Xenopus tropicalis: one gene and its partner. The main gene of each other region encodes a partner of the protein of the gene in region 2 in a complex. Links are inferred from orthologs where the notes say so. Each region holds a gene or a part of one and is shown on either strand. Other genes may lie near its edges.

What was found.
Region 1: the proteins of galr1 (region 2) and galanin peptides are in contact, whole or in part, in a cryo-EM structure (PDB 7WQ3), measured with the Homo sapiens proteins. The link is inferred for Xenopus tropicalis from reciprocal best matches to the Homo sapiens genes GALR1 and GAL. Residues at the interface, in NP_001471.2 of Homo sapiens: Glu32, Gln92, Thr94, Val95, Tyr96, Leu98, Pro99, Thr100, His112, Gln174, Phe177, Arg180, Gln184, Phe186, Cys187, Trp188, Glu189, Gln190, Ile266, His267, Ala270, Phe275, Leu277, Ser281, Phe282, Arg285; in NP_057057.2 of Homo sapiens: Gly33, Trp34, Leu36, Asn37, Ser38, Gly40, Tyr41, Leu42, Leu43, Gly44, Pro45, Val48.

What each region holds. Positions count from the first base shown.
Region 1 is NC_030680.2:37,077,386-37,081,219, reverse strand, and holds part of galanin peptides, read left to right. Parts: intron 1-1,797; coding exon 1,798-1,878; intron 1,879-3,674; coding exon 3,675-3,729; intron 3,730-3,834. UniProt on the Homo sapiens protein: Endocrine hormone of the central and peripheral nervous systems that binds and activates the G protein-coupled receptors GALR1, GALR2, and GALR3.
Region 2 is NC_030682.2:98,601,448-98,605,281, forward strand, and holds the end of galr1 (galanin receptor type 1), read right to left. Parts: intron 1,172-3,834; coding exon 854-1,171; 3' UTR 213-853; downstream 1-212. UniProt on the Homo sapiens protein: Receptor for the hormone galanin. The activity of this receptor is mediated by G proteins that inhibit adenylate cyclase activity.

The DNA of each region.
Region 1 (3,834 bases), on a different chromosome or scaffold from region 2:
CACACAAACATATTTATAACATTGATTTTTGGCCAAAATGCTATTTTATTGAACTGTATCCTTTCTTGTCCAGCTTTTATCTGTATCTGTTTATTCTTTTTGCCATTCATTATGGTTTTTCTTTCTTTACTCCTGTCTTTAAAGTAAAGATGTCCAGATCCTTTAAACAATATTATAAACTTACACATTCCCATAGAAGTGTGAAATGTAAAGGAAATCCAAGTCCTGACAAGATATAGCTTCTCTCTCAGTACTGACTAGGGATAACCTTGGGGTGTTGCTCTTGATCATGGTTAATCTGGAGATGTTCTTCAGGTGTTTCTTATGGGCCATGTCATACTATGCTTCCTTGTTTATTAGACCCATCCCTTTCTGAGGGATTTTATTAGCAAAACTGTGAGAGGCGATAAAGATAGCTGATGTGTGCCAGCCTAAAACAATATCAGCTTAAAAATTACTAACTGGGGTATTAATAAGTTCAATATAAATATTTATTATTTATATTTATTACATATCTATACTTCAAAAACTATCTCAATGCAGCAAGGCAAACACACTGCCCATGGCATAATACAGATATGGGTGTAAAAATTGTTATTGAAAAATCACTTTTTTTTCTTTTTATGAAAAAAAAACAATCTTTTCAATTTCAACCCCTCCAAACCTACATACCTATGCACACCTGTGCATACACTCAAATCCATAATTATGTATATATACATATAGAGAACTAACTGTAGACTTGAATATTATGCTCTTCCAAGAAGACATCCAAGCCACTCTCAAAGAGCTGTACAACATTAAACCTCATTTGCTAGTTTGCTGGTATGGAACTTGTGTTATTCTGCACAATTTGGTATCATCAGCAAAAATAGTGACAGTAAATACAATGCCAATCTCGAGGTTATTTAAGGGAAATACCATGGGCATCTTTGAGACACCCCTATAAAAAACCTGGTCAAATTAGAAAATGTTTTCTAATTTACCACCAGTTTTTGTAATTTATCCTTCAGCCAGTTCTCTATACAAGCACAAATAGTATGTTTTTGGTGAGTATCCCTTATCTTAGTAAGTAACCATCTGCTTTAGGGCTCTGGTACACGGGGAGATTAGTCGCCCGCGGCAAAACTCCCTGCTCGCGGGCGACTAATCTCCCCGTGTACCAGAGCCCTTAGCAAAACCTAAATAGAAAATATCCACTGTCTCCCCAATTTCTAATCTTCTAGGCTAGCCACTGATGTCAAACTAACAGGCCTATAGTTTTTAGAACAAGAACAGGTTCCCCATTGAACAATAGAAACACATAAGCAATTCGCTAGTCTCTTTGTACAACACCAGATATCAAAGAACCCTGGGAGATTAGTAGAGTGTCTTAAGTAATTACAGAGCTGAACCCTTTTACTACCCTGGGATGAATTCCATCAGGTCCTGGACCTTTACATTATTATAAGTCTCTTTTGAACTTCTTACTCAGTCAACCAGCCATTGATTTGTGTTTATTATCCATCAGTCCATCAGTTGTGTAAACAGATAAAATAACAGATTAAAATATCTTCTTTTTCCCTGCTCCCATCAACTAATTTACCCCCCTCTGATACCAAGGGTCTCACCACATCTTGCTACATTTTTTTTACCATTTATATATTTTAAAAAGTATGGGATTTTTATTGGCTCTGGCCTGTTAACACATATCAGACAGGCCTTATTAAAATCAGGGACAAATGGAATATAGAATGTTTCAAATAAAAAATGTTAATGTCAGTTAAATACATAAACAATCGTAATATTTTTTTTCAGATGCAAAAGTGCAACTGTCTGCTATTGGTATCTCTAGTCCTGTGTGCTACAATCTCACAGACATTCGGACTAGTTTTAACAGTAAGTTCAATTTGTGATATATTGTGGTGCATGTGTGCATGTCTCCATCCTTACTGCATTTCTTCCTTGTTGTATATGTGTAGTTCCACTTATTAAACAAAGAATTTATTTTCAGATATTGATACAATAGACCCCCGAGAAATAAAGTCCCCTTTACTAAGCAAAGTTAAGGGGCACCACAAGAAAATATTCTGAAAGGTTTATTAAACTTACCTCAGTGAGGACCCACATCAGATGACCAATAATTTTGGGCTTCCAAACAGCTGCTATCACTACTGGCCATATTATTAGGCCCTGGCTTTTGAAAGTAAAACTGATTACACACAGGAGCAATGAGATCAGCTTGGTTAGTCCATAGGCAATAACGCTACAGGGAAGCAGCTGAAAGAAGGTACTGTACAGTATGTACATGATTTCAACAGGTAACCAATCACAGGTAAAGTTAGACCAAAATATTCTGTATAGACAAGCCAAATTTTAACTGGACATGCCTTGGACTAAACTTCTATCTGCTCTGTTATGGCTGGAATGAGATTATAAAACTGTTAAAGGAGGACCTTTAATAAATTCAGCTACTAAGATAAGATAAGGCTGCAAAAATACATTATACATAGGGCTTACTATAGCTGTTCAGCACAACAGCAACTTTATAACAGTTATGAATTATATCTCTGCATCTGTTCTATAAAGCTTTTCTCTTTTCCATGATAGTAGACCATTCCACTAGTGTATTCTTAAGGGTCGCACATTCAACTTGGAACATTTTGCAGATCATTCAATAAGTTAATACTTGTAGGACACAATATATATCCTTTGTAATAAGGAAAGTGTATTTAGGTGTATATAGGTAACATGTAATCTGGCAACCTAACAAAGAGCAGGTAAACCATTCCATTTGTTTAGGAATGAGCAGCTATAAAGTAAGCATAAGTGGTTTGGGTGCTTTAACCTGTATTCCTGGCACTAACTATAGCTGTTATGTTTAGAGGCTCAGCAGAAATAAAGCCCTGGTTAACACTGCAGTTTAACTGACTGACTGGAGAGTAGCTTAAAACAAGGGCATAATAGAGGAGACAACAGACCCTGAGGCTGCAGAGAAGGGCCAGCTGGAAAATGGCTCATAGGGGTCAGTATCTGACAAACATACAACTCCATATATGTGCCCCCCCCCCATAGGACCATGTGAGTTAACTGACTCTATATCTATACTGTCTTTATGCTGGGGACGGTACCAATAGTAACATGCTGAAATATTGACCACAGATGAAACGCTGCATGTTGTTTAACCCAAATCCTGCATTTCAGTGAAGTCCCTTGGGTACAAATCTCATACAGAAAAATGGATTCAGTTAACTCATAAAAGCCAGTTGATGGGAATGCAATAGAGAAATACCGTGAGCAAGGGCACACACAAAGGGGCAGATTTATCAGAATATGAGATTAGAGCTCAGCACAGAAAAATTAACCTACTTTCTTTTCATTCCTATGGGCTCTTTAGAAGCATATTTATTTGGGTAAACATTAGAGTTCACAATTTGTTAAATAAGCTTCTAAAAATCCCGTAGGAATGAATAGAAACTAGCTATGTCATTGTAATTGAATGCAACGGGTGAATGGGCTTTTCTACACAATGAAATTGTTGTGTTTTTTTCTTTGTTTCCCTTGGGCACACAGCTATTCATATTGTGACATATGATACAAACATCTTATATTTTTTTATTACTGCTTTTTTGCTATATGTGTAGTATAATACAACCAACGTATTAATTTAAAGATTTCAATATTTCGCATAACAGGGAAAAGAAAAGCGTGGCTGGACGCTGAACAGTGCGGGATACCTTCTAGGGCCACGTAAGTGCTTAAACCCTATATACTCCACTGTATGTTTCAATGTAAAGCTTCACAGTTATCTCCGAAACTACAGTAGATGAATTAAAGTCTGATGAGCCACTGAGA
Region 2 (3,834 bases):
GCCTGTATGGTGAAGAACATTAAATCAAGTGTAACTTAATCCTATTTCATAGCATAGATATGTGCAACACCTTTGTGTACTATAAAATCCTTCCTGTTGTGTACTATGCAGCTGGAAAGCACAGATAGTATATACAAACTTTTAGAAGCTTTATTATGATATACTGATGAATTTGTGTGTGTGTTCACATTTTTGCCACTATTTTTTACATTTTCAGAAAAGTTTTTATTTATATGCTTACAATACACAAGAGCCACAGATAACCTGTAAACTATATCCCTATAAACAGTGCTGAGTGAAATAGCTTTTGCATTATATTAAAAAAAGTATCCCTATGTTGTAAAATAGGACAATATTAGAAGTCCACTCCAAGTTCCAAGATCCACAGAAAGGATTGAGGCCTCATATGACCATAGAATATCTAATATCCTTACATTATTACAATAGGGGTACATTATTGTCTATACATTTTCCTTTTCCAGCAGCGCAAATATTTTAAAAGTGTGTGTTTATATATACATATAATTAGCATATTTAAAAATCCCATATTTGCATTCCAGCATGGAAAACACATGATAAACATGCACACATTGTACACTGCATGACTTAAAATAATATATGATACAGTTTAAAAGCAACAGAGATCTCTCTCCTATGCACATGGTTATCAAGAGTGCCAGTCTTTGGTTTCCCACCTAATGTAACCTATAGCTTTGAGGGGATGTAGAAAATGACTGAAGCAATCACCACCTACTGATGTACTGTACAATGAGACTAAGTACTTGTAGTTTGATTGGATGAATTTGTGCTTCCAAACCGTGCACTTGGTTTTAGCGTATGGCATTCATTTGGGTCAGACATGAGTGCAGTTCGTTGATGGTGGAGTGTCCAACTTGCTTTTTATTTCTTTCGCATCACTCTGGTTGGAGTCGCAACCAATCTGGCACTTAAATACCTGCTTGTAGGCCTTTCGGAAATTTTCGGAGAGGAAAGCGTAAATGATAGGGTTCACTGAAGAGTTGCTATATGCGAGACAGTGGGCAACTATTCTGAAGACAAAAGAGGCTTGGGTGAGAGGAAAGCTTCCATATTCTACCCACAAATGGATCACATGATGAGGAAGCCAGGAGATTCCAAATACCACAACCACAACAAGCACAGTCTGTGCTGTCTGTATAAAATAGGAAAAAAGAACAATGATTATTAACATGTGATACATGAAACAGAAAACGTTATGTTCAAAATTATGTTCATACCTATTATACTATCAATTATTATACACAAATGTAAAGAGCATGGCATTCAATAAGCACCTTGCTTTGTGTGCATTCAATTAAGGTCAGATAATTATAGAGAAGGCACATATGCTTGTCATTTTCCTGCTTCCAATATATGTTAAGACTGTGACTTTAGTTTCCTTTCATTCATTACAGGCCATTTCTAATGTCTGGATCTTGTGTGACACATTCATTAAAAGTATTGAGTATGCATATGGGTTGGCTCTTTGCTTTCACTCATGCAATATGTTTGTAACTGATGACAGCCTGAGCATCTTTATATTTGACATTACCATCTGGTCAGACAATTATTATACATAACAACATACAGATTTGTAAGTAAAAGTATGCCATAAATACCATTGTAATTAGTATCTTGTGATGTTAATCCTTATGGGGGGGTAGCATAAATCATTACAAAGCAAAGCAAGTGCTAGAGGCAATGGTTCGGTTTATTAATGAAGAAAGATGAGGGAGAGAGATTAGTTGTTGAAAGTAGAAAAGAGATAGAAAGTCTACTTTTTAAGCACATAAAATCTGAGAAAACAACAAACAGAAGCAGGAAACATAATGATTGATTTAGTCCCACACTAGAATATAACAATGCCCATTATGCCTAATGCTTGTTGTACTGATACCTACAAAAAGATCTATATACATTTACTGCTTGTATAAGTGCACGTCTTGTTTCTATTAAACTACAGAGTTCATGTACAACCACAAAGCAGCCCAGCAATTCCCCTGCAGATAGTTGCATGTAAAAACATCTTTCATTAAGGGTGCTTCTCGCACTTCTGTATAGTTGTGATTGGCATTGCTCAGTCCTTCCTGCCTTCCTTACACTCGACTGTGCCTATTGATGCAAGGGAACCCAGGGTCTACTGCCACCTACTGACCAAGAGGTAGCTCCAGGGTGCCCTTAGTGCTAGTTTCAACAGGATCAGTGCACCTGCAACTGAAAAATCACAATGCAGCAAGAATTCTGGGGTAAAATGCTGCACTGAGGAAGAATATGGGGGGTTATTCATAGATGCTGTTCCCAAACACTATGTTCATTGATAAGGGTAAAACTAGACCTATTAGCATGCAATGCAAAAACATTGGAGTGCCCCCAGTCCCTGTGTAGATCAACTGCACTCTTCACCCATATGCAAGTGCCCTTGCCAGTACATCCAGTGTGAGAAGTAGGGTGAAGTTGATATTACTGTTGGCAAGCTTAATAATCTTGATGATTCAGAATACTCTGTACTCTTCTGCTACAGTCAGCTTCCTCTCACCTAAAACAAAACCTGCTGCTAACATGTTTATTATGGCCCCTTTAAGCAAAGAATGACTTACAAAATACATCCTGCTAACACTGTATAGCTGTACAATTCTGTTTAACTCCTCTACAACTCACTTTATCACTTTACGTGTCTACATTGTTTCTTGGTGCATCTCCTCCATTCCTCTCAGAGCCTTCTTCTTCCACACCACCAACATCCAATGCCATTTCAAACCTTTTTCTCTTGCTGCCCCTTACCTATGGGATTCTGCCCTTGAATACCTTAGTCCTGAAATCTACCTCTTGGAACACTAGCATTGTATCAGTCTTTACATTTATGGGGCAATGTCTCAGTCATCATAGCTATCTATCCATTTGTGGCTAGAAGTTCCCTCCAGCCCATTAAAAGAAGAAGAAGAGTCCTCCTTTCTTCTTTTTATCTTAACACATGGGATGTAAGCTTTGTAGCTTTTTATATTTATTTTTATAATTACTGCAATGTTTGTACTATTAAAATGTACATCACAAGGAGCACTACAATAATAAATAGAAACTGTACATATGTATATAAATGCATGCATGCAATTAGAAAAATATTTTAGTAGTTTATAGTTATTCCTACAGTCGTTTTACTTAGAGTACATGTAACTTTTTAATACATATAAAAATTGAATTAGAAGCCCCAGGTGGCATTCATTCCCGGCTAGAAAAAGGCTTTTAACTCTCCAGTATACATACAAAACTGAATCTTGATTTGGTTTTAATAATTTAGACACTTAACAATATTCAAGGGAAAATCAATTAGATTTCAAATGGGTATTCATACGTGGAAGTCTAAAATATAATGATTTCTGACATTTTTTTCTGAATAGGACAATATAGCATGCTGATCTGCCAATATTGATATTTCACATACTATTCATAAATGATTTAGTCCTAGAAACTTAAATCTGAATGCGTTTTTGTAAATACATGTACTTAGTTGTGGAGAATTTCTAGTTATACTGACACTTAAAGGCAACACGAAGGTTGTCCACTAAACCATTTATATATATTCAATATACAGTTCACTAAAGATACAGTATGTTTTTTTTAATAAGGACAAAAACAAGAGGTCTTCTGCAACTCTAGCTTGGTTGACAGAACAACATAGAATGTGGTGTAGTTTTAATTTACCTGCAAAAGTTTGTAAATACATTCATGTAAATACAGAGACTTATTAAAAACATAGCAAAAAAAGGGAAAGTTGTGCTCACCACTAAATTTTAAACCATTGGGCAGGGGTGCAATGAG